3 linked regions of the Callithrix jacchus genome follow. The protein of the gene in region 3 binds, or shares a complex with, the protein of the main gene of each other region. Links are inferred from orthologs where the notes say so. Each region holds a gene or a part of one and is shown on either strand. Other genes may lie near its edges. The genes, in order: SARNP, THOC7 and THOC1.

The links.
Region 1: THOC1 (region 3) and SARNP share a complex: the UniProt entries of both Homo sapiens proteins name them as parts of the transcription/export (TREX) complex. The link is inferred for Callithrix jacchus from reciprocal best matches to the Homo sapiens genes THOC1 and SARNP.
Region 2: the proteins of THOC1 (region 3) and THOC7 are in contact, whole or in part, in a cryo-EM structure (PDB 7APK), measured with the Homo sapiens proteins. The link is inferred for Callithrix jacchus from reciprocal best matches to the Homo sapiens genes THOC1 and THOC7. Residues at the interface, in NP_005122.2 of Homo sapiens: Leu10, Arg14, Glu46, Gln53, Arg56, Glu60, Ile63, Ile64, Asp99, Asp102, Cys103, Leu104, Pro105, Arg146, Gln151; in NP_079351.2 of Homo sapiens: Tyr47, Gln51, Leu54, Ser55, Ser58, Gln59, Phe62, Gly65, Lys66, Leu69, Val70, Met73, Arg76, Glu77, Asn80, Ile84, Ile88.

What each region holds. Positions count from the first base shown.
Region 1 is NC_133510.1:63,830,489-63,840,808, forward strand, and holds the start of SARNP (SAP domain-containing ribonucleoprotein), read left to right. Parts: upstream 1-5,105; 5' UTR 5,106-5,118; coding exon of another isoform or gene 5,119-5,154; intron 5,155-7,182; 5' UTR 7,183-7,228; coding exon of another isoform or gene 7,229-7,235; exon of another isoform or gene 7,236-7,262; intron 7,263-10,320. Other genes in the region: ORMDL2 (ORM1-like protein 2), read right to left, coding at 2,481-2,616, 3,364-3,515, 3,684-3,857. UniProt on the Homo sapiens protein: Binds both single-stranded and double-stranded DNA with higher affinity for the single-stranded form. Specifically binds to scaffold/matrix attachment region DNA. Also binds single-stranded RNA. Enhances RNA unwinding activity of DDX39A.
Region 2 is NC_133516.1:45,608,842-45,619,061, reverse strand, and holds part of THOC7 (THO complex subunit 7), read left to right. Parts: intron 1-5,096; coding exon 5,097-5,214; intron 5,215-6,284; coding exon 6,285-6,412; intron 6,413-6,695; coding exon 6,696-6,782; intron 6,783-8,389; coding exon 8,390-8,447; intron 8,448-9,656; coding exon 9,657-9,723; intron 9,724-9,840; coding exon 9,841-9,910; intron 9,911-10,220. UniProt on the Homo sapiens protein: Component of the THO subcomplex of the TREX complex which is thought to couple mRNA transcription, processing and nuclear export, and which specifically associates with spliced mRNA and not with unspliced pre-mRNA.
Region 3 is NC_133514.1:63,801,915-63,812,134, forward strand, and holds part of THOC1 (THO complex subunit 1), read left to right. Parts: intron 1-3,131; coding exon 3,132-3,232; intron 3,233-4,587; coding exon 4,588-4,654; intron 4,655-4,851; coding exon 4,852-4,902; intron 4,903-4,992; coding exon 4,993-5,063; intron 5,064-5,771; coding exon 5,772-5,888; intron 5,889-6,364; coding exon 6,365-6,430; intron 6,431-10,220. UniProt on the Homo sapiens protein: Component of the THO subcomplex of the TREX complex which is thought to couple mRNA transcription, processing and nuclear export, and which specifically associates with spliced mRNA and not with unspliced pre-mRNA.

The sequences.
Region 1 (10,320 bases), on a different chromosome or scaffold from region 3:
AGCTTTAAGATAGAACATTGAAGGCATATGAAATAACTAAGTGGAGGTAATTTTAGTTGTTTGAGCCCTATTTGTGAATAATGATGAGACTACTAGCAATGCTCTAGGTAGGCTTGACAAATTAAGCAACTATCCTTTCGTTGGTTGCAGGAGGTTTGAAATGGACCGGGAACCTAAGAATGCCAGATACTGTGCTAAATGTAATAGGCTACATCCTGCTGAGGAAGGAGACTTCTGGGCAGAGTCGAGCATGTTGGGTCTCAAGATCACCTACTTTGCAGTGATGGATGGAAAGGTGTATGACATCACAGGTACTCTTCTGTCCTCTAGAAATACAGCCTCATACTTCCTGATCTTTTATGTGATCTAAACTGCAAAGTTTTGGTTATTTCTCATGTTTATAGAGTGGGCTGGATGCCAGCGTGTAGGTATCTCCCCAGATACCCACAGAGTTCCCTATCACATCTCATTTGGTTCTCGGATTCCAGGCACCAGTGGGCGGCAGAGGTAGGTGGTATTTCTATCAATAATCTATCAACTATTTCAGTTTTGAATATGGTTTCAGATGACCTACTTTAGGAAATCTAGGGGACTTGTTTTCTAGGAAGTTTGGGAACTGATAAGTATATCTAACTTAGGTAACCATATAACTCTAACATCTCTTGCCTTATCATTTCTTCTGTTTTATCGCAGAGCTACCCCAGATGCTCCTCCTGCTGATCTCCAGGATTTCTTGAGCCGGATCTTTCAAGCACCCCCAGGGCAGATGCCCAATGGGAACTTCTTTGCAGCTCCTCAGCCTGCCCCTGGAGCCACTGCAGCCTCTAAGCCCAACAGCACAGTACCCAAGGGAGAAGCCAAAACGAAGCGGCGGAAGAAACTGAGGAGGCCCTTCCAACGCTGAAATCCCTTCTCTTTCCTCAAATCAATGTCAGGGAGTCAAAAGGATGTATACAGCACAGGATGGAGTTTGATTTGTCCCTCCTCCCCCAGCACCCAGGAACTGAATCTTTCTTTTTTTTTTTTTTGACACGGAGTCTTGCTTTGTTGCCCAGCTGGAGTGCAGTGGCACAATCTCAGCTCACTGCAACTTCCATCTCCTGGGTTCAAGCAATTGTCCCATCTCAGCCTCCCAAGTAGCTAGATTATAGGTGTGCACCCCATGCCTGGCCAGGCTAATTTTTTTTTTTTTAATTTTCAGTAGAGACGGTGTTTTACCATGTTGCCCAGGCTGGTCTCGAACTCCTGAGCTCAGGTGATCCACCCATCTTGGCCTCCCAAAGTGCTAGATTACAGGCATGAGCTACTGCACCCAGCCTGAATCTTGTCTTTTGACGATACCAAAGAAATAGGGGGTAGCTAGAGTAAAGAACCTAGGGCCTGGACCTGGGCTGGACAGTGTATCCCTTTGAGGTGTGGGAACTGGGTATTTCCTTGGGGTCTGTATGCCTTGTCTTGTCGTTTGCTTTTAGAGCAGATGACACTTTTTCCTGCCCTTTAAAGGTACAAGTCTATCTTCTTTCCTGACACGTTTCAGGAGGGAGTCCTCTCCTTTTCCCTGATATAATAGTTAAAAGACAGAACAAGAAAGCATGTAGCCCTAATGACAGGAGATAGAGAGTTCAGAGAGTGGAAACTGAATTTTCCCTCAACTTTCACTTTGTGGGTCAATCACCCAATTTCAGGCTGTTTTCTGCAAGGATGGCCAAAATTAATCATTTTTAAAAAGTTGATTCATGCCCACTGCCCTTGGGTGAGGGGGAAGGATACGGGGGTTCCCAGAAACCCCCCTTGTTATCCAAGGGTTTGTATTTTTTTTAAGTTTGTTCATATTTGTATGTACATATCTATTTAAAGCCAGGGGATTATCTTTCTATAAATGTATAACTGGCAACCTGTATCTTCCCTCTTTTTTGCCCATACAGCTGGAGCCCTTTTTCTCATTTGAGAATCTGTTCCCTACTAAGTGTTAAGCTCAGAGTGAAGAGCACCTCTTACTGGACCAAAGTAGAGGGGATTGGAGAATTGCTTTAAGTTTTTTACTTTAGGTCAGTATTCCATCTTCCCCCGTCCCCGCCAGCCTTATGAGGACAGCTCTCTACCCTTCCTGCTGATTAAACTGCAGGCATAGCTGAAAAAAATTATTAGAAGAAAAATACACAGCAAAACAGAGCTGGAAGGTAGTAGGTGCAGAAGATATGGAAAGATGTAATCACCAAACAAACTGCCCAAATGGCTTCCTGCTATGGAGGAGAGTGATCTGGCCCTTACCTCACCCGGTAAAGAAACTTGCCGCTAACAGGACTGGACCTAGGAGTCCCATTTGCCAATCTCTTCTTTTCTTGGGAGTCTGGGAAAGGTTGCATAGTTCTCAGGCTTTCAAGATGTAGAAGATGGTATGGAGAAGAGAAAGATTTTTTTTATACTCCTCTGTTTCAGTGCCTTCCCCATGCCCATGGAGCTGTCCCAAAACCCATCCCTCAGTATTTATTGATGCCGAAGACACGAACCCCATGGAACTGGGGCAACTTTGGCAGCAGTACACTGAGCAATGAGGCTGTGTTGATGAGGAAGTGTGCAGCATCATACTTGGTATAGAAGCTGGCCAGGAGATAGCTGGGGAGAGAAAAACATAGGGTGAGTGAGGGTAGCCTTCTCTATATGTTTTTTTTTAAGAGGCAGTTCTCACTATGTTTCCCAGGTTGTAGTGCAGTGGCCATTCATAAATGTGATAAGTGCAGTACAACCTCAAACTCCTGGGCTTAAACAATCTTTCTGCCATAGCCTCCTAAGTAGTTGGGACTCCAGGCATGCACTGCAGTGCCCTGTTCTTTCTCTTCTATTTAAAATGACCAGTTTTATTGTATGTAGTCCTAAATTATCTTAAAAATATTCCAGCTATATCAATAGCGTTTACTCTGGGGTTCATAGTACCTTTAACTGGAGACTATAAGTCAGTTTCTGTTCATTGTTAATGACATGGCAAATGACAGCTGAGGCTAGTTCAGTCTGTGTGACTGTTAAGAGTCTTCTTTGCTTCCACTCCCTACAGTGTTTTTGAAGATTAATATCAGTTCTGCCTTTATTTGCTTCTTTTGGCAGTGTAAAATCATTTGGTTTTACTTGGCTCTTATCTTAGTCCCTTCATTTCCTTACTACCAAGGAGGCAGTAAGGAATGCTTGATTACAGTATTGTCTTCTACATTTTATTGCTCTCTGTAGGCTTAGAACTAGTATATCATAATATCTTCAAAGGGTTTTAGATGGGTAGCCTGCTTTTTAACAGCTTCCCTATGGGCCTTTCTGCCTGGCTCTTGGAACTCTTTCTAACCCAGCATATCCCCATTTCCCTCATAGACTCACAGCACAATAGGAGAGATGCTCAGGAACTTGCGAGAAGAGGTAAACTGGAGCCCATAGTCCATTTGTTCCCAGTGTGTCAGTAGCCGAGCCTTTCCTTGGTCAGGAGTCTCAAAGGGTGTCCCTTTCACCGTATGAAGGAAGATATACATAGCCTGGGAACATGGAGGGTGGTAGTGTGAGGGGCAGAAAGTAGTTCTTCAGTCCAAGAATGATGTTAAGATCCCAAAAGGAAGATACAAATCCCCAAACAATTAGTAATTTTATTTTGCTTGTGGTTGGGAAACTCTGGGATGGGCACAAGGGCATGGTTTACTGCTCACCAGGTTGTGGATGACGTTGGTCAGGGTCCAGACAACAGGAATGCTGAAGAAAGGGATGCTGAGTAGAACCATATGTAGCAGTCCTACCAAGATGACGTAGGCCAGCCAGATGCCTCGGCTATTCATCACTCGAGTGTTGGGGTTTACTTCGCTGTGTGCCACCCCCACATTCATCCTAGTCATAATGGGGGATCAGGTAGGGTCCAACTCATTTTTTTCTCAGCCCCTCTTCGAGCTTTCTCCCAGCTGTCTCTCAGATTCCCTGAACTCTATTGGGAATGAAGAACTTCCCCATCACGCAGAAAATAAAAACTGAAGACTTGGGGAAAACTTTAAAAGGCAAGAAGAATCCTCACTACATTTTAGAGACATAGTCATTTTCTCACTGATCTTTACGTTTCAACTGTAACATGAAGGTGTATGCGTAGGCTTGGGGCACTCACTTCAGGGAGCAAGGGAAACAGGAAATCTCACTTTCCTGAAGAAGTTAACCATGAAGAGGTCACGCACACCCAGAATTCCAGGAGAAAGTCATGGAATCATCAAAGAACCACTAAGAAGGGATGACAGAGTAAAGCTCTAGTCCCAACCTGTTCTCTGGGGCTTGTCCACCCTGTCTCACCTCCGTGGCATGTCAGCAGTCAGCATCCCCACTGCTTCTCTCAAGCGTGGGGCACGACAACAACTTGCCCACGCCTTCTGGACTGGGTTAGGAAGGAACCTGAGCTCAACGTTTCGAGAGATGGAGCCTTAGCTCTGACTCCAGGGGCGGCAGTGATCAACTGAACTCGGATCTTTAAAATTGTGGTAGCTCTAAAGCTGATGATGTCTGGTTAGGAAGCGGCTCTTGCCCGCCCCAGCCACCCGCCAGTTCCTTAAGCCCGCCCCATTCCCTCCCAGCTTCCTCCTCTCATGTTCGTCGGTTTTTTTCAGGGCTCCCTTCAGCATTCGTTTCTCAGCATTTAAGTCACCGCTTCCTCGGCGCCCCTTTCGCCTCCCACCATATTTCCTTAGCAACCTTTCTAGTCCTCGCGGCCCCTACCTGCCAGCTTCAGATCCCTGTCTGCTTATGGGCGAGGCGCCGGCTACCACATCTGAAGTCTCCAGGAAGTGACTCCTCTCCGTCTGCCCCTTCCCTATTGGAGGAACATAATCAGCGGTTGGTGATATGTGATGCAGACGCACAATTGGTTGCCATTTCTGTCGTTCGTAAGATAAGTGCCCGCCCCTCTCTCTGTCCCCCCTTTTGAAAGAGGTGGGGAAAGCTGCCGAGAGACATGAGGGACGTCAGCTATTGACCAATGGGAAGAGCTGATGGTATGTAGTGGGAGCAAGAGTGGCAACGATTGGTCAGCCTTGCATCTCTACGCCTAAGGCGGGAGCTCCTGGAGGCGGAGGCAGCGGGTGGGGGCTTAGCGGAGTGAGGGGTAACAAGATGGCGACCGAGACGGTGGAGCTCCATAAGCTGAAGGTACCGTAAATCGGGGAAGGGCTCAGTTGGACTTTTCTGGGAACTGAATTCTGCACAGTGACTTGCGTCTTCTCCTACGTGTTCTCCTTGCAGCCTTTTCTACTTTGTTTCTTGGCTCCCGCCGTAGCTCTTTTGTGCCACCCTTCCACACTACGCCTTCCCTAATTTTCCATTTCTCCTCACGGTTTTACTGCTATATTTTTTTGTTATTTCTGTTCCCTTCATCCTTGTATCGTCCGTCACCCTTGTCCACCAGGTTGTAAGTGCCTTCTACCTGTTATACTCCTCGTTGCTCTTCTGGTCTGCATTACGTCAGTTGGTCCCTCCTCTTTGCCCCACGTCGGACCCAGGATCCCTTTTTCTTCCCTGGAATTATGTTTCCAGTCTGTCTTCTGAAGCTGAGACTCGCCTATTATATTAGCAGATGGTGGCATTTTTGTGTGTCGCTATTTGAATAGATCCCAGACACTCCCCTTTTCTAGGTGGGATTACGCCACCAGGGAGAATTTTGAAACCAGGGAAAGGCCTCACCTTAGAAGCCTGGGGTTGAGGAGGCCTTGAGATAGAAGTACAGACACCTCAGATTTAAAAGTTTTCCAGTTCTCTCACGCGGTTCTCCACTTGCCAGCCTTCCTCACACACCGTCTCCTACCACCAGAGAGAATTCATACCTGCAGTATTTGGGAAAAACAGTTCCAAGGTTAAGATTATCTCTGTTCCATTTCATATCTCAATGGGCTCTGCATCTCCTGGTGTTTTACCATTGGGTGACACTGAATCACAGAAGCTATTTTAAATTGTCTTATGAGAATCTTGGTAGTTTTCTCATACTTGGATTATTATTTTCCTGAAAGAGAGAGTATTTATTTAAGGTAGATTGCAAACAACTAAGAGAGATAAAAAAGTTAAAAAATATATTAAAAAGAAAATTTCAAAGAGTATTTTCTTTTAGGGTAAACTAATCTTGATTAATTCTCTGTGGTTTCACAGGTAGATTTCCTATTGGATGTTTTGGACAAACCAGGCTGATACAGCTGAAACTGAAAAGTGATCCTTTAAAGCTTGAAGTGTTTTTTTGTTTGTTTTTGTTGTTAAGAAAGCTTAAGGGTAGGGAGAGGACCTTTGTTTAGTCACTTATTAGTTGACCCCTATTAGTCTTTCTGTGAAAGCTGATATTTTTCTTACTCTTGGATTCTAAACTCTGTTTAGTGGGTTTTTGTGTTATTCTCAAGTTATTGTTAACTTGGTGGTACTGAAATGCATAGACTATCAGTGGTTTCCTGATAATTATTGTGATGAGTAAAAGAAAAATTGAGCAATAATCTCCACTTGGTGTATATATACTGTACTTATAGAAATTGTATGCTTCTGTACCATTATAAAACATAGAAAAGGAATTTTTGAATGAGACAAAAAGGAACTATGCATAGAAGACTTAATATTTTCTTTCTATTTGTCTTTTTTTTTTTTTTTTTTTTGAGACAAAGTCTCACTGTGTAGCCCAGGCTGGAGAGTGCAGTGGTGGAGTCTCAGCTCACTGCTCCCTCCACCTCCCAGGTTCAAGCGATTCTCCTGCCTCAGCCTCCTGAGCGGCTGGGACTACAGGCATGTGCTACTATGCCTGGCTAATTTTTATATTTTTAGTGAGATGGGGTTTCACCATATTGGCCAGGCTGGTGTCGAACTCCTGACCTTGTGATATGCCCACCTTGGCCTCCCGAAGTTCTGGGATTACAGGCATGAGCCACCACACTATTTATCCTATTTTTGAAATCCCTGGAGTAAGTCACCAGCTGCCCCATGACTTACTTGTTTTTATAATTGTGTTTGTTTATGGAGTTCCTCCTTCCATCAAATCTGTGTTTGTCAGATCTATATTAAACTTGTATTTGACTGGATAAGTAACTTTTACATAAAGTCCTCTGACCTGATTTCAGTGTTGCAGTCTAAGAAAACATTAGGCACTCCTGACAGCCTAAAAAGGACTCACTCTTTAATCACATTTGCTTGTCTTTGCTTTTTCTCTAGAGCACTTCTTAACCTTTTGGAGGTCACAGATATCTTTGAAACTCTGATGAAAGGTATGGACCCTCTCTCGCCAGAAAAAGGCATGTACACGTACTTTGCATGCAGTTTGAGGGGCTTCATAAAACTACCTTGTAGCCCTGAGGAGTCCATGGACCTCTGGTTAAGAACTCATGCCTTCGACCAGGCATGGTGGCTCATGCCTATAATCCTAGCACTTTGGGAGACTGAGATGGGTGGATTGCTTGAGGCCAGGAGTTGGAGACCAGCCTGGGCAACATGGCGAAACCCCACCTCTACTCAAAATGCAAAAATTAGCCAGGCATGGTAGTGCGTGTCTGTAGTTCCAGCTACTGGGAAGGCTGAGGCACAAGAATCGCATGAGCCCCGGGGTGGAGGTTGCAATGAGCCTGGATTGTGCCACTGCTCTCCAGCCTGGCGGACAGTGAGACTCTGTCTCAAAAAGAAAAAAAGAACTCATGCCTTTGATTCTGATATTTAGGACGTTTATGTTTGGTTCCACTGGTGATCTTGATGTAATGATCCTGACTTCTAGGTTGACTTGAGGTTTTATTGCCTTTAAAAAAAAATCTTGGCTGGGTGCAGTGATCCATACTTGTAATCCCAGCACTTTGGGAGGCTGAGGCCAGGAGTTTGAGACTAGCTTAGGCAACATAGTGAGACCCTGTCTCTACAAAATATTAAAAAATTAGCTGGGCATGGTGGCGCACACTTGTAGTTTCAGAGCAGTGACTGACACCTGTCATCCCAACATTTTGGGAGGCTGAGGCCAGGAGTTCGAGACTAGCTTAGGTAACAATAGTGCGACCCTGTCTCTGCAAAAGATTAAAAAATTAGCTGGGCATAGTGGTGCACACCTGTAGTCCCAGCTCCTTGCAAAGCTAAGGTGGGAGGATCACTTGAACCTGGGAGGTTGAGGCTGCAGTGAGCTGTGTGATGATTGCTCCGCTGCACATCAGCCTGGGTGACAGAAGGAGACCTTGTCTCAAAAAAAAAAGAAGAAAAAGAAAAAAAATCTGTCCATTGTCATTAAGAGAATTTTGGGCTTTGGTATGGAACCTCAGAGGAATGGAATATGCTTTGAAGTAGGAAGGAAACATAGTATCATGTATCTGAATTGATACATGACATCATTTTAGCAGCAAATTCCTGAGAATTTTGTAGAAACCCAGTCTTTTTTTTTAATTGAGATGGAGCCCTGCTCTGTCGCCCAGGCTGGAGTGCAGTAGCTTGATCTCAGCTCACTGTAACCTCCACCTCCCAAGTTTAGTGCCTCAGCCTCCCTAGTAGCTGGGATTATAGGCATGTGCCTCCATGCCAAGCTAATTTTTGTATTTTTAATAGAGATGGGGTTTCACCATGTTGTTGGCCCGGCTGGTCTCAAACTCCTGACCTCTGGATTATAGGTGTGAGCCACTGTGCCTGGCCCATTCTAACACAATTGGAAAGAGAGATTGAACTGTGGGTGAAAATGCCTTGAACTGTAACAGTATCAGATTTCCAGTCAAATATCAGAAAAAAAAAAGTATTGAAGAGGGGAGGAGAGCTGTAGTAATGTCAGAGTGCTGAAAACAGTGAGACATTTGTATTGAATAGTAAAATGAGTAAATATGTTGGTAGTTGAAGATAGTTTGGAAAGGAAAATAGGTAAACTAACCATAAAGGTAAATCAGAGTGGTATTGAAAAGGGCTTTCTAAGTTGTGTAAGGATTTCTGACCCTTGTCATGTAATGATAAGTAGGGCTGGGACCCTTTGGAAGTTTGAAAGGAGGAACTTAGGGGCCGGGTGCAGTGGCTCACGCCTGTAATCCCGGCACTTTGGGAGGCCGAGGTGGGTGGATCACGAGGTCATCAGATCGAGACCGTCCTGATCAATATGGTGAAATCCCTTCTCTACTAAAAATACAAAAAATTGGCTGGGCGTGGTGGCGCGTGCCTGTAATCCCAGTTACTCAGGAGGCTGAGGCAGGAGAATTGCCTGAACCCAGGAGGCGGAGGTTGCTGTGAGCCGAGATCGCGCCATTGCACTCCAGCCTGCGTAACAAGAGCGAAACTCCGTCTCAAAAAAAAAAAAGAAAGGAGGAACTTGATGTGATCAGTTTGTTTTCTTGGCAGATAGGATCTGTTGCGGGAGTGATTTCATCACTTAGATGTTTATTATAGAAGCCATTCCCTTGCTTAAAACCCTTAAATTATATCCCTGCCAGTCTCTTCAGGATAGTTACTCATACTTCAACTACTGCAGCCTTTTTTATTTTATTTCTTCAGGATGGGTATCTTCATTAATTACTAACACTTAGCATTTATTATGTGGCAAAACACTGTTTGAAGCCATTTATATACATTAACTGGTTTAATTCTCATAATAATCGTATAAGGTTAATACCTCTATTATCCTCATTTGAAAATACGAAAAATGGATCTGATCATTGATTGCCTTGTTCCCTACAAGATTGTAAGCTCTGTATGAGAAAGGACTCTGTTTTGCTCATGATTATTTCCTTGTATCCAAGGTAATACTAGACACACAGTAGGTGCTCAATAACTATTTGTCAATTGAATAACTATATCAAGATTTCAAAAGAATTGGAATGAATTTGAATGACATTTAAGATGTAGAATATATTAGTATATAGATCAGTTAGCTACGGAAAGAATGAAAGGTGACTTTAGGGTTTGGGCAGTGATACCTTTAATCTGGGTTGGGAGGAGGAGAAGCCAGTTTTGAGCAGAAGAGATGTCAGGTAGTCAGTTGGAAATGTGGGTCTTTCACTCGAGCTGAAAGCTGATGATGAAGACTTGGGATTTATTCAGAAAATAAGGAGCACTTGCCATGTCCCAGTTACTGTGGGTGCTAGGGACATAGCAGTGAACAATACAGACAAAATCCTTGCTCTCATAATGCTTGTATTTTACTGAGGGAAGGCAAAATAAAAAGTACAATGTATGGTATGTCAAATGGTGATAAGGCAAATAGAGAAAAATAGGAGATGGGGAAATACAGTGGGAAGGGTATTGTAATTTTAAGTAGGGTGACTAGGGAAGGCCTCATTAAGAAGGAGATGATTATACAAAGAGTTGAAGGAGGTGAAGGAATGAGCTATGTCCAAAGCGTTAGAG
Region 2 (10,220 bases), on a different chromosome or scaffold from region 3:
CCCTCATCTCAGCCTCCTGAGTTGCTGGGATCGTATAAATGAGCCACTGTGCCTGGCTCATATTTTTTTCCATTTCGTAAAATTTTAATTTTATTATTTCCTTTTTTTTTTTGAGACGGAGTTTCGTTCTTGTTACCCAGACTGGAGTGCAATGGCGCTATCTGGGCTCACCACAACCTCCGCCTCCTGGGTTCAAGCAATTCTCCTGCCTCAGCCTCCTGAGTAGCTGAGATTACAGGCATGCACCACCGTGCCCAGCTAGTTTTTTTTTGTATTTTTAGTAGAGACGGGGTTTCACCTTGTTGACCAGGATGGTCTCGATCTCTTGACCTCGTGATCCACCCACCTCGGCCTCCCAAAGTGCTGGGATTACAGGCGTGAGCCACCACGCCCGGCCAATTTTATTATTTTCAATAGCTTTTGAGGTACAGGTGATTTTTGGTTATATGGATAAATTCTATCAGTGGTGAATTCTGAAATTTTAGTGCACCTATCACCCATGTAGTATACTACATGAGTAGTATATTTATACCCAACGTACCTAGTGTAGTTTTTTTCCCCTCACCCCTTTCCCAACCTCCACCTTCTGAATCTTCAAAGTCTATTATGTCACTTTGTATAACTTTGTGTCCTCATAGTTTAGCTCCCATTTATAATGTGAGAACATATGGTAGTTGATTTTCCATTCCTGAGTTACTTCACTTAGAATAATGACCTCCAGCTCCATCCAGGTTGCTGCAACAGACACTATTTCATTCCTTTTTTTTTTTTTTTGAGACTGAATCTTGCTCTGTTGCCCAGGCTGGAGTGCAGTAGCTTGGTCTAGACTTACTACAACCTCCACCTACCGTACCGAGTTCAAGCAGTTCTCCTGCCTCAGCCTCCCCAGTAGCTAGGATTACAGGCACATGCTACCACACCCAGCTAATTTTTGTATTTTTGGTAGAGACGGGGTTTTGCCATGTTGGCCAGGCTGCTTTCGAACTCCTGACCTCAGGTGATCCACCCGCCTCAGACTCCCAAAGTGCTGGATTATAGGCATGAGCCACCACGCCCAATTATTTCATTCCTTTTTATGTCTGAGTAGTATTCCATGATGTATAGATACTACATTTTCTTCATTCACTCATTGATGTGTGGACACTTAGGTTGTGAATTCTCCAGCTTATATTTTCGGTTTTTTGAGGACTCTCCATCGTTTTCCCATTAATAGCTGTACTAGTTTACATTCTCACCAATGGTATATAAGAGTTCTGCTTTCTTCACATCCTCACTAACACTTATTATTGTTTACCTTTTTGCTAGTAGCCTCTCTCAGTGGAGTGAGGCAGTATCACTGTGGTTTTGATTTGCATTTCCCTGATTAGTAATGCTGAGAATTTTTTCGTATACCTGTTGGCCATTTGTATGTCTTCTTTTGAGAAGTGTCTGTTCAGGTCATTTTAATGGCAGTTAAATATTGACATGAGTTTTGGAGGGGATATTCAAACCATAGCATCAAACTTTAATCTCTTAGATCTGTTAATATATTTCCTCTCAGTCAGGGCACTCACTCCCCAGTTTGCCTCAGATGTTGTTTGCCTATTACATGAATCCATTTACATTTGAAATCCCCAGTTGTCAATATAGTTGGAGGTCTAGGCATATAGGAAGAAAATGGTATTTTCTTGGAGACTTGAGAGGAGGAACACAGATAAGACTAGCAAAGGAACTGTTGAATAGCACCAGTGCCACCAGATTCACCCACTAGATGCTTCCTTTTAATAAAGTTAAAATGCTTGTAGTAAGAAAATTCTATTAATATTTATTTTCTGCATTTTAATCTCTTCAAGGACTGTTTTTTTGTTTTGTTTTGTTTTGTTTCATTTTTGAGATGGAATCTTGCTCTGTCGCCCAGGCTGGAGTGCAATGGCACGATCTCTGCTCACCGCACCATCCGCCTCCTGGGTTCAAGCAATTCTCCTGTCTCAGCCCCCCGTGTAGCCAGGATTACAGGCATTTGCCACCATGCCCAACTAATTTTTTTGTATTTTTAGTATAGACGGGGTTTCACCATGTTGGCCAGGCTGGTCTCGAACTCCTGGCCTCGTGATCTGCCTGCCTTGGTTGGACTCGCAAAGTGCTGGGATCAGGCATAAGCCCCTGCGCCCATCCAGGACTGTTTTATTTGTCTCAATCTCTTCATATAATATTGTTGGTGATTAAAAAACTGAAAGCATTAGTTTGTATTTTTATAATGTAAAAGTAAAACACTTGATGAATATGTAGCTTGAGCAGTCTGCCAAAGCCATGACTCTGAGAACCAAACCCAATTCTAAAAATGCTTATTTGATGTTATCTCAGAATATATTTTAAAACTGGAGCCATCTGCCTTCCAAAGTTTATCTCCACTGCACCTGTGCTCAAAAATACTTCTGCCTACACACAGGAACTATTGTTTAAAGATTTTGCTGTTATTTCAATATGCAGGCTCTCTAGGAATTATTCACACTTTAAAATTTATTTTTTAAAAATAATGAGGCTGGGCACAGTGGCTCACGCCTGTAATCCCAGCACTTTGGGAGTCCAAGGCAGGCAGATCATGAGGTCAGGAGATGGAGACCATCCTGGCCAACATGGTGAAGATACATCTTTACTAAGATACAAAAAATTAGCCAGACCTGGTGGTGCGTGCCTGTAGTCCCAGCTACTTGGGAAGCAGAGGCAGGGGAATCACTTGAATACAGAAGGCGGAGACTGCAGTGAGCCGAGGTCACGCCACTGCACTCCAGCCTGGCGACAGAGTGAGACTCCATCTCCAAAAATAATAATACAGTATTTTATAAAATAACGAATGCATACTGTAAAAAAAAAAGAGAGAGAAATCCCCAAGTTCTACTAAGACATGCAGGCAAATTATATCTTTTCCCACCTCTATCTGTAGTCCGTTTTATTAGAAATAAACACTATTACAAGTTTCTTGAGGATCCATCCAAGGATAGTCTCTGAATACACACATGCACATGCACACACTCCTTTTTTCGCACATATGGCAACATATTGTATATGCTTCTCTGCGCCTGTTTTGTTTTCATTTTACCTAACATCTAAGGAGAGTTTTCTGGTATCAGTATATATATCTGCACTATTTTTTTTGGCTCATACTATTATATTATGTGAATGTTTTATCATTTAACCAGTTTCTTATTGATGAATAGGTTTTCAATCTTTCTACTACAAACAGGACCACTAAGAACCCCTTTATTTCTGTCTTTGTGCATGGGTGAAAATATAGGAAAATTTCTAGAATTGGAATTAAGGGTCAGGAAGATATGTGCGTTTTTAATTTTGTTACTGTTCAGTGGCCCTACAAAGAATTACCAGTTTATATTTTACCAGTATATAAAAGTACAGTTTTCTGGCTGGGCACGGTAGCTCACACTTGTAATCCCAGCACTTGGGGAGGCTGAGGTGGGCAGATTGCAAGGTCAGGAGTTCAAGACCAGCCTGGCCAATATGGTAAAACCCCATCTCTACTAAAAATACAAAACTTAGTTGGGCATGGTGTCAGGCGCCTGTAGTTCCAGCTACTGGGGAGGCTGAGGCCGGAGAATTGCTTGAACCCAAGAGGTAGTAGTAGCAGTGAGCTGAGATCGTGCCACTGCACTCTACCCTGAGCCACTCTACCCTGGGCGACAGAGTAAGACTGTTTTAAAAAAAAAAAGTGCAGTTTTCTAACACCTTTCCCAACAGTTTTATCAGATGTTTTGATTTTTGCTTATCTATTAGGTGAAAAATTATATTTTACTGTGGTTTTAATTTGCCTTGCTCTTGTTATGATCCAGGATTATTTCGTCTGGGTAAGAACACTAGCTCAGGACTGCCAGGCAGATAGATTGGGACCTCACTTGTTGGTCATCATTGTCATCTACACTGCTTTTTTTTTTTTCTTTTCCTTGGGGCAAAAGTATTGTTTAAAAAAAATTCTCATGGGGAAAGAAACCTTACAGATAACTAAATATATATGTAATACATACATATGTATATAATATGTATATATATAATACATGTATATAATATGTATGTATTATATATAATATGCATTATATTATACATATTTATATTTGTATAAATAATATATTATATAAATAATGTATTATATAGTAAATAATATATGTTATATATAAAATAATATAAATATTTGTAAATTATAATATAAATATATAATATGTTTATATATTTATAATATATGATATATATAGTATTTGTTTTGGAAACAGCATCTTGCTTTGTTGCCTATAGGCGCTGGAGTGCAGTGGTGAGATCATGCCTCACTGCAGCCTTGATCTCCTAGGCTCAAGTGATCCTCCTTCCTCAACCTCCCAAGTTACTGGGCCTAATAGGCACGTGCCACCACATCCAGCTGATTTTTGTTTTTTGTAGAGTCAGAGTCTTACTGTGTTGCTAAGGCTGGTCTGGAACTCCTTGGCTCAAGTGATACTCCTACCTCAGCCTCCCAAACTGTTGAGGTTACAGGCATGAGCCACCACACCCAGCCTTAAATTATATGTTTATTTAACAAATTCATTCCTTTTTCCCTGACCTATTCTTTTTTCCTAGTTTGCCACTACATCTTTTAAATATTTCTTGTCTATTCATTTTATCAGTGCCTTTCACTGGCCAGAGACATAAATATTTGGATTTCTGTCTGTCTGGGCAAATTGTTTCACAAAAGTTTTCTAAGAATTATTGGCTTATTTCCTTGATTGTATCTGAAAATTATTTCCACTCAACAACCCAGTAGACTGCCAACTCTGTAAGGATGTCTTTTCACTGCTATTATTTCAGCCCCTAGAACAGTACCTGACACACGGTAGTCATGCAATAACGTTTTTTTCCATTACTATATAAATATTTTTATTATATGCAATATAAAACATGCATAACATAAAATTTACCATTTTAGCTAGCCATTTTTAAGTGTACAGTTCAGTGGCATTAAATACATTTGCATTTCAATAATTTTCTTTTGAATAAACAATTGAACAGTGATATTGGTTATTTGTATTTGAAAGTTACCAAGAGCCAGATGGTAGCATTGCTCTTCTTTCCTGCAGACGAAGTCATACGGAAGCGTCTCCTCATTGATGGAGATGGTGCTGGAGATGATCGGAGAATTAATCTGCTAGTGAAGAGTTTCATTAAATGGTGCAACTCTGGGTCCCAGGAAGAAGGGTATTTTATTTCACTGTTGTTTCTATACCCATGTCCTAATGTGATTTTAGACCATACATTAAGGTCCTGTGAATAGATCAAATTTTTATTCACCTTAAATGTCCAGTGGAGTCAACTCTTAATTAAGAGTAGATTTTCTTGGCCTTTTCTTTTCTTCAGAGGCCTCCCATATGTTTAATAAACATAGAGAAGGCAGATTGGTAAGGAGAAATGAAGATTAAATTCAGACCCATTAGGATATAAGTGTTTAATAAGTATATGTATGTAGTAAGTTGGCACAAAAGTAATCATGGTTTTTGCCAATATCTTTAAGTTTTGCACCAACTTGATACATACACACACACACACACAAAATCTTTTTTTTTTTTGACGCAGAGTCTCATTCTATTGCTGAGGCTGGAGTGCCATTGTGCAGTCTCAGCTCACTGCAACCTCTGCCTCTCAGGTTCAAGCAGTACAAGTGCCTCAGCCTCCCGAGTTGCTGGGATTATAGGCATGCACCACCATGCCTGACTAATTTTTGTATTTTTAGTAGAGATGGGATTTCACCATGTTGGCCAGGCTGATGTTGAACTCCTGGCTTCAAGTAATCTGCCCACCTTGACTTCCTAAAATGCCAGAATTACAGGCATGAGCTACCATGCCCAACTGTATGTATGTATTTGTGTGTGTGTGTGTGTGTGTGTATATATATATATATATATATATATATATATATATAGTAAACTTTGCTTTTCACATAAATAATTTTATAGAGTAAATTCTGGAGACAGAATTGTGAAGATAAAAAATTCATAATGTATTTTAAACAAAATGCAAATAATTATTTGAATAAAGCATACACTGATAAGAACAACAGTCTCATCTTTGCATGTGTAACTAGTTTATAAATTCAGGTGTGCTACATTTGATAAAAAGAAAACTTAAGGAACAGATATTCTGAATTATTTTAAATAAGCAAATGACTCTCAAAGAACTTATTTAATTAGCAAATATTTGCCTGCATTATAATAGTTCAGTTTTGTCAGTCTACAAACATCTTTATTTTGGTTTTCTCTCTTTCTCATTAGATATAGCCAGTACCAGCGTATGCTGAGCACACTGTCTCAATGTGAATTTTCAATGGGCAAAACTTTACTAGTATATGATATGAATCTCAGAGAAATGGAAAATTATGAAAAAATTTACAAGGAAATAGGTAAAGAATATTAATGTTTCTATCTGTAATTTTATTTTGTATGGTATAAAGGAAACAATATCTGCTAACAATTTTCTTTGGTTGGTGGTAAAAGAATAATAATTACAGTATTAATAGAAAGAATACAGCAAATGTTAGCTACAAAAATATGCATTCTAATATATGGTACTTTAATACTAGTGTCTATTTTGTTAGCAATAGAATTTAATTTATAAATGCATTTTAAAATTGAACATGGATTATTGATATTGTTACAACTAAGTTTTAAAACCTTCTTATATAGAATGTAGCATTGCTGGAGCACATGAAAAAATTGCTGAGTGCAAAAAGCAAATTCTTCAAGCAAAACGAATACGAAAAAATCGCCAAGGTAAGAGTTTTGAGGGATTTAATATGCAAATACTTTATTACTGACTACTATTTTCATGCAATTTTTAATGTTGTGAGGAAAAATCTTCAGCAGCCTGAATCAACCTGGATTTTTAAAAATTATCCAAATTTAATTCTTTAAAACTATGTTATTCTTTAAAATAGAGAAAGAAGTCTGTGTTGAAAAAAATGTTTTTGCTGGATTACACTGATTATCCAAGTATTTCTTTTCTGTTTTTCTCCTTTTGTTTTTTTCTTTTCCCAGTATTTCTTAAGCATTAAATTTTTACCATCTTGGAGCTTTTTGCCTAAATAATGTAATAGTTAATCAGCAGAGGCAATTTACATAAATACACTAGATATATGATTTGGGTTTTTTTGTTTGTTTGCTTAATAGAGCTACTTTCCAAAAAATGAATGAAAAAGAATTTAAACTCTGTGAGTTTTCATTAACTATGAAGCAAGCAAATATTTATAGACTATCTAGAATATCTAATAAGAAAGTTAAAGTTGAGTTTTGTTATAATCTCTTGTTAAGTTAGAGTATGTTCTTATGTAGTTCCTAAATGCTGTTTCCAGATAATTTTTAATGTTAGAGGCACTACTCCTATAATATAAATTGAAGAAAAGCAAAAATAAAAATCATAATTTATAATCACAACTGTTACACTGATAGGAAAAACTAGAAGAAAATAGAAAATGTTAGTGGTTATTTTGAAGTGGTGGGTTTTTATGGCTTAGGTTTTCTCTGGTTTTGTTTTGTTTTATTTTACACAGGACATGTATTCTTTTGTAATTCAAAAAAATTGTATTTAAAAAAATCATACTTTTATTGAATTAATAGCATCAGTTCTAAAACAATGAATTGTACTTTTTAATTAACTAGTTAAGATGAAGATTAATTTCCTCTTTTTAAAAGTTTATTTTTTCAGTCTAAAATGTGTGTGGTGAAGTTTTAGTGCCCTATTTACAGTAAGATATACCAACTTAGTATCAGTTCTAAAGTCATTTAAAAATATTTTGCAGTGTTTTTGTTAGTTAATGAGACTTTTAAGTAAATCTTGTCATTCATCACTTCAGAAGAAAGGTTAACAGGAGTTACATGACTTATCTTGGAGGTCTCAGTGGAGCAGAAAGTAGAACTTGAATTTTAAGTTATTTGTAAGTTTCTGAAATCTTAACTTTTAGAATGAGTGAGAAGTGTAATTTGCTGTTGACTAACATCTCAAATTAATGGATGGATATATTCACTGATTTTCTTCTTTTTTTTTTTGGACAACTAGTGAGTAAGATCCTTCTCAGAATCAGTCTATTTGATAATCAGTAATAACTTAAGTTCACTTATTTTTATGCTGACCTCTTATGTTCTGTCCAGAACATATAAATGGAAAAAAAGTGCTGAAGTTTAGGGAGCTAAAATCCCTGTTTAGAACACTTTTGATGTTATGTGTCATTATAGTTATAACTCAGTCAACTAGAACTGGCAATACTCATCTTTCAATGATTTCATTTCTTGATGTACTAGGGAAGTGGTTAGGAGAGGCTTGTGATATTACACATTTTGTTTTGATAAGCCCTTAGTTTGATAAACATTTTTATGTCTTTCAGAATATGATGCTTTGGCAAAAGTGATCCAGCATCATCCAGACAGGCATGAGACATTAAAGTAAGTGTAGAGCTTTACTTTGAAAGGAACTAACCTTTATACATAAATGCTGATACACTACCCTAGGCATTTCATTTTTGCAGAAATAAATATGTTTCAAAAGGAGGGTTCAGGTCTTCGATATTATATTTCCCAATACTTCTCTGTTAGATTTTATTTTCCTCTGACCTTACCACCTATATGTCTAAAATAAATGCATGTAATATGGACAAATAGAGTGGACAAATAAAATGTGGTCTTCATATATTAAAATATTAAATATCAGTTAAAAAGAATAAACTAGGCCGGGCGCGGTGGCTCACGCCTGTGATACCAGCATTTTGGGAGGCTGAGGCGGGGGAATCATGAGGTCGAGAAATCGAGACCATCCTGGTCAACATGGTGAAACCCCGTCTCTACTAAAAATACAAAAAAATTAGCTGGGCACAGTGGCGCGTGCCTGTAATCCCAGCTACTTGGGAGGCTGAGATGGGAGAATTGCCTGAACCCAAGAGGCGGAGGTTGCGGTGAGCTGAGATCACGCCATTGCACTCCAGCCTGGGTAACAAGAGCGAAACTCCGTCTCAAAAAAAAAAAAAAGAATAAACTAGTTTTGTACTGTTCAAACACACTCCTCAAAACATAATCAGTGAAAAAACATAATAAATTTAAAATTATTATTAAATTTCTGAAACACATATAGAATAATAACAATTTATAAAAGTTAGAACCCCCTTTCAAATATTATATACCAATACTGTATATTATTCAGTGATACAGGTATATGTGTAAAAATGGATTAGAATGATATAGTGGTTGCCTGAGTGGGAGGTAGAGGAGATAAAAAGGCCCAGGATAGAGGACTAGGGGTAAGGTTCAAAGGGTATTTCAAGTTAATTGGCAATGTTTTATTTCTTTTACAAAAAAAAGACCCTTGAAGTTAAGCTCTACAATATGTATCATTTCTTGGGTCTTGTTATTCTATTATCTGTATTTTTCTGTACTTTAAAAATTTATCAGAAAGTGTAATTTTAATTAAAGTAAGTCCATATTTAAAAGTTAAGAAGAAATCATTTTTAAAAGTCTCACCATAATGGAGTGTTATAACTCCTTATAAGTTTTTTTTTCAATTTTATTTTAAAAATTCTATCTAGTAACTAATAAGTTAGTTATTAATTGTAAATTTTTTGCCCCATTCAGCAAAATGTAACACTGTTTTATTATTTCCAGGGAACTAGAAGCTCTGGGAAAAGAATTAGAGCATCTTTCACATATTAAAGAAAGTGTCGAAGATAAGGTATTTGCATAGATATTTAGCCTTTGTGATTTATCTGTCTATCTATAAATAGATCATCATATATATCTATATATATATAGATCATCATTTGTATAAATTTTTTTCTTGTTAACACAGCTGGAATTGAGACGGAAACAGTTTCATGTTCTTCTTAGTACCATCCATGAACTTCAGCAAACATTGGAAAGTAAGTAGAAATAGTCTCAAAATAAATGTTTATGAAGATTTTTTAAATGAGTCAGGGATGTTCCTTTTGAAATATGTATCTTGGAGAGAGAATATGCCTTCAATTTCTTAACAGTATAGCTGGATGACATTAGAAGATACTCATGTTCAACTTTCTTGAATATGTATAGAAAAGTCTTAATTTGTACTAATACAGGATTTAAAGATATATCTAGTGGTTTAAATTAAGAAAAATTGAAGGATGATAGATTTGGAGTTTTTCTTGGTTCACTGTAGTAGATTACTATAAGGTAACAACTCAGGACCCAGGC
Region 3 (10,220 bases):
GTATAATTTTTTAAATAACCAAAGAAAAGTGGAACTAGATAGTATGTATTATGAAAGAAAGGGTACAATTGAGTGTGTTAGTTTTACTCTTAGCTCTGACACTAGCTGTGTAACCTTGTATAGGTAGTTTTAACTTTTCTGGACCTAGTTTCCTTAAGTATAATGTGAAGCAGTTAGCTTGAATCACATTAGATCCTTTCCACCCCTTATTCAGGGTCTTGTCGACTCCTATTTTCAATCCATTGTTTCTATTAAGAAAAATTTTTCAACAAAAATAAAATGAAGACCTAGTAAGCATTGCCTAGCCACTTTGGTTCATCTCTTTAAGCCAGGGGTTCACATCTCTACTCCAGATGTATTGAACTGTGTACTGTGGTCCTTCAAATAGGTCAGTCTCTTATTTGGCTCCCCTTCTTGCTCCCCCACCCCACTACCCCAACTCTCCACCTTTATCTTTATTCCTTGTTGAGAGTTTAGATGCTGCTTTCTTCAGGAAGCCTTCCTGAATTTGCTCGATATTGGAGCTTCTCATTTAATTAGCTGACACTGGAGAACAGCTTTTGTGGAGGAAACTGATATGTTTTACTTTGTTCATGAAATCTGATCGAGTGTGAGTTGAACACTGAAGTAGAAATGTGTAATAGCTTGTTGAGTATACAAATCTGGAGATTAGGAACAAGATCTAGGTTGAGAGTATAGTTGTAGGAGTTACCAGTTTATAAATGGTAATTCAAACTGTAGAGTGTATGAAATGAGCTAGTGGGGAGAGTGTAGATTGAGAAGAAAATATTGAATCAAATCCTGGAGAAAACTCATGGATAAGGGAGAATGGAGAAGAGCAGAAGATTGAAGAGTAACCAGTGAGATTAGAGGAAAAACTAGAAAAGCATGGACTTACAGAAGCCAAGCATATCAAGTAGGATGAGGTCAATAAAGAGTGTTCACAGGATTCAAAACAACAAATAAGTCATTGCTGATCTTGACAAAAACACTTGTTCTCCCCCTCCCTCCTGGACAAAATCTTGCTACCCACACTGGAGTGCAGTGGCACGATCTTGGTCACTGCAACCTTCGCCTCCCAGGTTTAAGCAATTCTCCTGCCTCAGCCTCCAGATTAGCTGGGACTACAGGCGAACACCACCACGCCCAGCTGATTTGTTGTAGTCTAGACCAGGAGTTGGCAGACTATATATATAGCCTACAGGCCAAATCTGGCCCACCATCTGTATTGATTTTTTTTGGTGGTTTTGGGATTTTTTTTTCCCCCTTACATTTTAGATTTTTTCTTTTTTTTTGAGACGGAGTTTTGTTCTTGTTACCCAGGCTGGAGTGCAATGGCGCGATCTTGGCTCACCGCAACCTCCGCCTCCTGGGTTCAGGCAGTTCTCCTGCCTCAGCCTCCTGAGTTACAGCCACATGTCACCATGCCCAGCTAATTTTTTGTATTTTTAGTAGAGACGGGATTTCACCATGTTGTCCAGGATGGTCTCGATCTTTCGTCCTAGTGATCCACCCGCCTCGGCCTCCCAAAGTGCTGGGATTACAGGTGTGAGCCACCACACCCGGCCACATTTTAGATTTTTAAATACCTACATGGTATCCATAATATGCCTCTTAGCCCACATAACCTTAATTAAAATATTTATTATTTGACACTTTAGGAAAAAGTTTGCTAACTCTTTAGACTAAAATAGGATGGGACTAATAGATAGGCAGAGAATAGATGGGTTAGGGGCCTTAAAGTCTCATTAAGATCCAAGTGTTAGGTATATTGGGAGCAACTGAGCAAGAGACTGGGAAGGATGGAGGCTGTGGTGAGATAGGATTGTGAGTTAAAGACTTCAGATCTGGGGCAGCTGTGAGTGACCCCAGGCCTAGCTGTGGCCACAGTAGTGGGTAGCTGGAGCAGAGAGATATGCCTGTTTGTGGAGTTGAGGGCAAGGAACTAACAGCCTAAGTGGAGACAGTCCAGTTGCCCAGAGCCTGGAGGAAGGGAAGGTTGATAGCCGGTCATTCACATCACCAATTTGGGATAGGAGAGCTAATATAAATAACAATCAAATATATTCAATCCTTAAAACTGAGGGAAACTTGACTGGAAGGCTGATCATTAATTATTTTCTTTAAAGACCTGGAGCTGAAGTGTGGAAGGGGTTGCCAGTGAATAAGAAGGCTTGTGTGTGTTAGGTGGCATTAGTAGGTGGTACCAAACCATGTAAAGCAGAGCCAGCGGAACTTGGGACATTGAACCAAAAACCAGTCACTGACGCTTCCAACTGCCTTACTGGTTTTTCATTTAGAAGAATGTGGCTTTCCTTTGTTGCTGTAGTTTTCGAAGGCAGAACTAGCATGAGAATGTGGATATAGACTAGCTTCCGTTCAGTGCTCCATGTGCATAATCAGAATGACCTTCCTTCAACACTGGAGATTATTCTTAGAGCTGGATGGCAGGGTCGCTGAAGAACTTCCCCAATGGCTTTCAGGTTCCTTTCTAATCCAGATTCTGTGATAATACAAGTATGATGCAATTTTCATTAAAAGCTAAAAGCAAAGCCCATCTAATCAGGGATGATTAGTTGCCTCTGTTGCAGGCACTTTGTAGGGCTGCAAAAATGAGTGGTACCCCTTGATATTGTGCTATTATCCATGCCTTCTTTAGCCATTATTTCTTCCTTCGTATGTAGGAAAGTAGTAGCCTCGGTTTTACTTTTTAATTTTATTTATTTATTTATTTGTTAAATTTAGAGTCCTGCTATGTTGCTCAGGCTGATCTCAAACTCCTGGGCTCAAGTGATCCTCCTCCTCAGCTTCCTAACAGGCTTGTGCCACCATGCCTAGCTTACTTTTTTATATTTTTGCCTTATTTTATCCTCATGTCAGGACCACAGATAGAGCATTGTTATACCAACATGAATACATCATGGCATAAAACAGTCAAGAAATCAAAATGAAACCTTGACTGGGCTGTCTGTGGGCTTGTGTGGTAATGCCTCCCATGCAGTGAACTCTCAAAAAATGTTTTTTAAATTGAATTGGAATCTTCCATTTCTATAGTAGCATATTTTGTTCCATCAGGCAAAACTTGATTTTAATGTGTTGTTTTTGTATGTGTTTGCTTGTTTCTTGAGTAGCTGATGGATTTACAACTGAGTGACAGTAACTTTCGTCGACACATCCTGTTGCAGTATCTCATTTTATTCCAATATCTCAAGGGGCAGGTCAAATTCAAAAGGTAAGATAAAATGGGTAGTAAACAATTTGTAAACAGTAGCCAAGAAAAAAAAGGACTTGCTTATGAAACGGACGTTTCATGTATAAGGGCTGCATCCCTAAAACACATGTATTGCAGCTGATTATTGAAGGCTTTTAGTTACGATATTTGTTTAAGGAAAAGATGTTAAATATGTCTTGTCAGTGTGAGTTTTTCCTGCCCAACTCCAGGGCTTACCAGGAGTTCTCGAGTCCAAACTTCATCATTCCCTTCTCACCTCCCTCAGACCGCCTCCAAAGCTGATTTGCAGACTAAACCAGTAATACATGTCTCATAAGGTGTGGAGCTGTGTAGGACATTTGAGCTAAAAGATGCAAAGGAAATCTTTAAGCAAAAGGAGTTCATTTCTTCGGAGTTTCACAAAACCTCATTAGACTGTCTGCTGTCTAAATCCCTCCATCCATATCCTTCTGTCTTGTCCATAAATGAAAGTACAGCTCACTATTACTTGACAGTATTTGTGTTAAGGACACTGAGCAATGCAGTATTAGTTATATAATGACTTTACTACCTGCTGGGTTTGCATCCTAGGCTTATCATTTGCTGGCTGTAGTACAGCTCTTTCACACTTGTAATTTTAAGGTACTAGCACATGGTAAACACTCAAAAAATGTTATTTCTTATCCTATCTATTTTGGATGTTTGGTGTGGCATAGTAGAAAGATCAAGGACTTTGGAGTCAGACCTAGGTTTGAATTAAAGCTTTATGGCCTTGAGCAAATCATTGAGCCACCATAGTCTGTTTAATACGTACTTGTATTTGTTCTGAGAATTCAGTGAATAATGCATGTAAAGTGTTCAGATCCCAGCTATCAATATTTATAGGATGGCTTTAAATCACTAGTGCATAATGAGTTCTCAATTAATGGCAGCTGGTAACAATATGGGTTTGCCTGTTACCTTTCCTAGGGTTTGGGTGTTTTTATTTGTTGTATTTTGAATGTATCTTAAAGGAATGTAGCATGCCAGACTGAATGTGCATTATGTATACAAATATCTTAATATCAAATCAGAGGTTTTCATTTCACATTCAGCTTATTTTAGGAAACATTTATTGCTCTGTTCATAGCTAATCTGATGGATTAATTGAATGTTTTATTCTCCTGCACATGCTTTTATGTTTTCAGTACCAACTTCTTGAGGAATAAATGCAAGAATTTTCTCTTATAATCCTCTCATTTGTGACTATGTTTATCTTGGTAATGTTTGACACTATCCACAGCATATTACATGTTACATGCCTTCTGTTTTTTAAACCTTAAAATTGAATATGCATTGCTCTAACTCAAGCATGCTTTCATTGCTTTGTTCCCTAGTTCAAACTATGTTTTAACTGATGAACAATCACTTTGGATTGAAGATACTACAAAATCAGTTTATCAAGTAAGTTCAACACGCAACAAACCCATGATTGAAAAAATGGAAATTTAGAATTTTCTTTGTTTCAGCCCCAAATAGGAAAATAAGGATAAAGTTAAGCTCAGGTACAAGACCACAAACACTCCTTGGTTCTCTGCCTACAAACCACTCCTATGATGCAGAAAGTTGTTGAAAGCTTAGTATATTCTTTCTAATCACAGCTACTATCTGAAAACCCCCCCGATGGAGAAAGATTTTCAAAGATGGTAGAGGTATGTGATTTTTATGTTTACATCCTCTTTTTAGCACGAAAGAGAATTTCAGAGGATTCCATTAACCAAAATAGAATTTGTTTTTCCCAGCATATATTAAACACTGAAGAAAACTGGAACTCATGGAAAAATGAAGGTTGCCCAAGTTTTGTGAAAGAAAGGTAAATACATACTCATCACAAGAACTATATATAAGAAAGGCTTTTCAAAGTATGCTTTGATATGATTATAGCATGTAAAGATATGTATATATATTTCATATAAAAAATGTAAGTTGAACTCTGTAAGAGTACAATCACTTTGATGTACCTCTGTTTGTATTTTTTTTAACCTCAAAAACTTCTTGTCATTAAGTTCCTAGAGCAAACATCTATATAAATTATTGAGAAGACTGTATATATATTCTGTGTAATTTGCCCTATAATGTGGCATTTTTGTCTTATTTCTGATAATTGTTCTATCAGAAACATGAAGTTTTCATCTTTTGTTTTGAGATGGGAATCTCGCTCTGTCACCCAGGCTGGAGTGCAGTGGTGCGATCTTGGCTCACTGTAACCTCCACTTCCCAGGTTCAAGCAATTCTCATGCCTCAGCCTCATGAGTAGCTGGGATTGCAGGCATGCACCACCATGGCTAGCTGATTTTTGTATTTTTAGTAGAGACAGGGTTTTACATGTTGTCTAGGCTGGTCTTGAACTCCTGAACTCAGGTGATCCACCCACCTCAGCCTTCCAAAGTGCTGGGATTATAGGTGTAAGCCACTGTGCCCAGCCAGTTTTCATCTTTTTTAGGAGGAAAACAATAACTAAATTTTCTTTTACATTAAACATTCTTCTATTTCTGCTATCCATTTGTAATTCAAAAAATAGTGTATGTTTTGTTCACCACAGAACATCAGATACCAAACCTACGAGAATAATTCGGAAGAGAACAGCACCCGAGGATTTCCTAGGGAAAGGACCCAGCAAAAAAATTCTGATGGGAAAGTAGGTGAACTTGCCTTTATGTGGGATGTTCTTATTTTTGTATTTTAAAGATGTTACTGTAAGAATTCTCCATCTCTTAACATCAAATGGCTATGCCACTTTTTTCCATTTCACAGACAGTAGAATTGTTTAGACTGATGCAGCTCACTTCTAGTTGCTGCAAGATATCATAATCCTTGAGTTCTCTTACCTTCCAGTTAAAATTCAAATTCATTGCTTTATATTATGCTTGAATATTTTTAGGAAACAACCTAAAGATTATATCATTATTAGTCAGAATTATAATAGATAATAATATGCTTATATAGAGAATAATTTTAGGTATTGTAAATACCAGAAATCATTGAGAAAAGTAAAACTCATACTATCAACATCCCAAATCTGTTGTTTGCATTGTATTGTTTTTCTATTCAGTTTCAAGGCACATGAGGATGGTGTCCATAAAAAATGTATTTATTTGTGTATCTGTTTTGTAGTGAGGAGTTAACAAGGCTTTGGAATCTTTGTCCTGATAATATGGAAGCCTGCAAATCAGAAACAAGGCAAGTTGAACATTTTTCACATGAAGTGTTGCTTTTGTCAAGTGCTGAGTAGAATGGAACCTTTTCTCAGCTATGAAAAGAGCTCAAACAAAATTTAAGTTTTTTGTGGTTGACTTTGGCACAGTAGAATATAGCTTCCCACCATAAAACACCTAGAAGTTCTGATAAAATAATTTTAGAAATACAAAAAAATAAAGATTCACAAAAGGAATCAAAACAAATAGAAGAGTAAGCCTATGAACTGATACGGTTCTGTGGGAGCAACACTAATGATTCCAAGCTTTGAGAACCAGGGAACTTGGGTTTTAATAATCACAGAAAGGACAGAAAGGCCTTAGGCCTGCACAAATTTGTGAGCAAGTTTTCCCCTGAACAAAGCTGAAATTTTTGAAGCACTACACATCTGTAAAAGAAGGGCAGGGTGGGGGCACGCTCACTGGCACAGGAAACAAGGAAGCTTATCTGCCTTTACCAAGGTGTAGGTGACAGGGAAAGTATTCCCTGAGAAATTGTAACCATAAGTCTGCTCTCAGGCAGTGTTAACAGTTTAAATTTTTCCTACCAGCAGTAGGAAAAATCCTACCTCAAGCTAAGATAGTGAGCTAGAAAGTCCCATGCTGGCAATAAAAATCTTTCTGAAGGTCCAATCTTCAACCCAAACTAAACAAGATTCCCACAGATAAATATCTAAAGTTATATTCACAAGGTTATTAAAAAAAATAAAACCCAAAGATAAATTCACCATCCAAACTTTAAAAACTCTCAGGGAAACAGTCCACCATGAGCAAGAATTGGCAGACAGAACAAGCAACAGAAGTTGGCCACTTTAGATAATAAAATCATAAGATAAAGGGTGTAAAATAAGTATATTTCAGAAAATTAAAATAAGAAGGAATTGAAAACACAGGGACATGACACTATCAAAAAGGACAAGGCAAATTTGAAAAACAAGTAATACTTCTAAAAACGAGAAAATATAGCAAAATGGACAGGTTTAATAGCAGTCTAGACACAGGTAATGTAAGAATTAATGGGTCAATACATGAATAAGAACTCACCCAGAAAGCAATACAGAAGGAGCAGAGTTAGAAACAATGACTTAATGATAGTTGAGGAGGTCCAGCAAACATCTAATGGCAGAGAGAAGTAATAGATAATGTGAAAGAGGCAGAATTGAGTTAATGATTGAAGATAGGCTTGAATTCATAGGATCAAGAAATGTAATACTTAAGGAGGATAAACCAAGTAAATCCGTATCTCTGTACATGAAGTCAACAACCAAAAAAACCTACAAAGGAACAAAGTTAAACTAACAGTTGACTTCAAGAACAACAAAAGAAATCAGAAGACAGTGGGATGAGTGCTTAAAAATGTCTTTCCCATGCTCTATTACTTCTTTTTGCCATTAGATGTTTGTTGGACCTCCTTAACTATCATTAACTCATCATTTCCAACTCTTGCTCCTTCTGTATTGCTTTCTGGGTGATTTCTTAATTATTAATTAATCCATTAATTCTTACTTTACCTATGTCTAGTCTGTTATTAAATCTGCCCATTTTGTAAATTCAAGGACTATATTTTCTCATTTCTAGAATTATTACTTGCTTTTTCAACATTTCAACTCCAAATTCTGTAACAAGTTAAACAGGTGTAGTTGACTGAGTAATTGACTAAAACTGTGAGAAATTATCAACAGTCCCTAGTAAGAAAGCTGTCTTAAGGAAACTGAACCCAGAAAGGAGTAAATTATGGAGAGGATTACTATGTAAACACTTTGGTAAACATGAAGAAATCTTATCAAGAATTCACTGTATGAAATAGTAATAATTATTATTTGGGGTTATTTTAAAAGGTAAACTTGCTAAAGGTGACATGTTAAGACAAAAAGGAGTAGTCAGAATTTTAAAATGTTAGGGTTTAAGTCAAGCATGCTTGAAAAGTATGTGAGATAAATGGAATATGTAATTTTTAAATAAATTGAGGGGTTAAAAAAGGTAAATACAGAAAATTTAAGCAAGTAAAATTAAGCAAGTAGGAGAGGAGAAAAGCACAGAAAACAACAAAGTACAAAACAGTATGGTTAAATTTAAATATAAATGGAAATGGACTCTCTGGCTCAAAGACAGAAATTGGTGTTATATTTTAAAGATCCATCTATATGTTTATAAGAAATATACTTTAAAAATAAAGATGTAGAAAGGTTGAAACAAATAATTTTTAAAAGATATTTTTTAAAGGCATAGTTATATTGATATCAGGCAGAAAAGGCTTAAAAGTGGAAAGCATTATTAAAAATAAAGGCAATCATTGCCTAAAGATAAAAGGAAAAAATAGAAATATATACATTCTAAACTTTATTTTCCAAGAATATATTCTCAAAACCTTGACAGAATTAGAATGAGAAGTTGACCTAGGGTCAGTTTTAACCATCCACCACCCAGAAGACCCACCATCTAGTAGAATTTTGACAGACCTTTCACAGAATTTAATAAATTTGGTAGAAAAAATTTGGTGTTAATACATTTAGAATTTAACAAAATAATTTAAATTTAACAGGCTGCGTCTTACAGAAATCACAAGTTTATGTAAATGATATGGGAATAGCAAAAGCAAAAATACTTTAATTTTCTTTAAACACACTTCTAAATAACCCTTGAATCAAAGAAGAATCATAATGGAAATTAGAAAATCTAGTGCTAAATGACAATGAAAACACTACATGTTCAGACTTTGAGATCTAGAACACAGAACACAGAAGAGAAATGTATAGCCTTGTTTTACACTTTCAAAAAGAATGAAATCTGAAAACCAAGCTAAGTAAGAGTCTAGCAATGAGAGTCACTCAGAAGAGAAGTAAACTCATAGAAAGTAGAAAGTAAGGGCTGGGCGCGGTGGCTCAAGCCTGTAATCCCAGCACTTTGGGAGGCCAAGGCGGGTGGATCACGAGGTCGAGAGATCGAGACCATCCTGGTCAACATGGTGAAACCCTGTCTCTACTAAAAATACAAAAAATTAGCTGGGCATGGTGGCGCGTGCCTGTAATCCCAGCTACTCGGGAGGCTGAGGCAGGATTATTGCCTGAACCCGGGAGGCGGAGGTTGCGGTGAGCTGAGATCGCGCCATTGCACTCCAGCCTGGGTAACGAGCAAAACTCCGTCTCAAAAAAAAAAAATACCCAGATTCTGTAAGAATTGTGAATAAAAATAATTTGCCAGTGCTGCTGTAGGAGTCTGATGTTACAGCCACTCTATCTGAATATTAGAGATGTCTGTGCCCCACTAGTAGGTGTATTGATCAGAATAGTGTTTTTAAAAATTAAGTTTGAGAATTACTGGTGGTTTGTAGCATCAATTTAGTAATTTCAACTAGCATTTTCTTAATGAAATAGGAAATATACTTTTGTGAAATATTAGCCTTACTTATATATACGATTCTTCTAGTTGCATTTATATGTACTGGGTTGCAATATAAAATGAATTTCTTACTGTGGGTTGCAGTGGAAGTTTGAAGGCCCAGTGCCTGAGGAAATCAGCTCATCTACAAGGAGACTGGTGCAAGAATGTTCATTTAACATTGTCAGAGCAAAGAGTGGGAAGACAACCTAAACATCTCTGGATAGGACATGGATAACTTGTGGCATGTTCATAAAGTGGAATATAGTATATATAGCATTGGAAAGTGAATGAATATTGGGATAGTTTTCTTTAGAGAACCCGTTTTCCTAGTTTTAGTCTAGAAGACGTCTTCTGATCCTGAGATCTCATTTCTTTGCTTGACACTGTATCAAAAT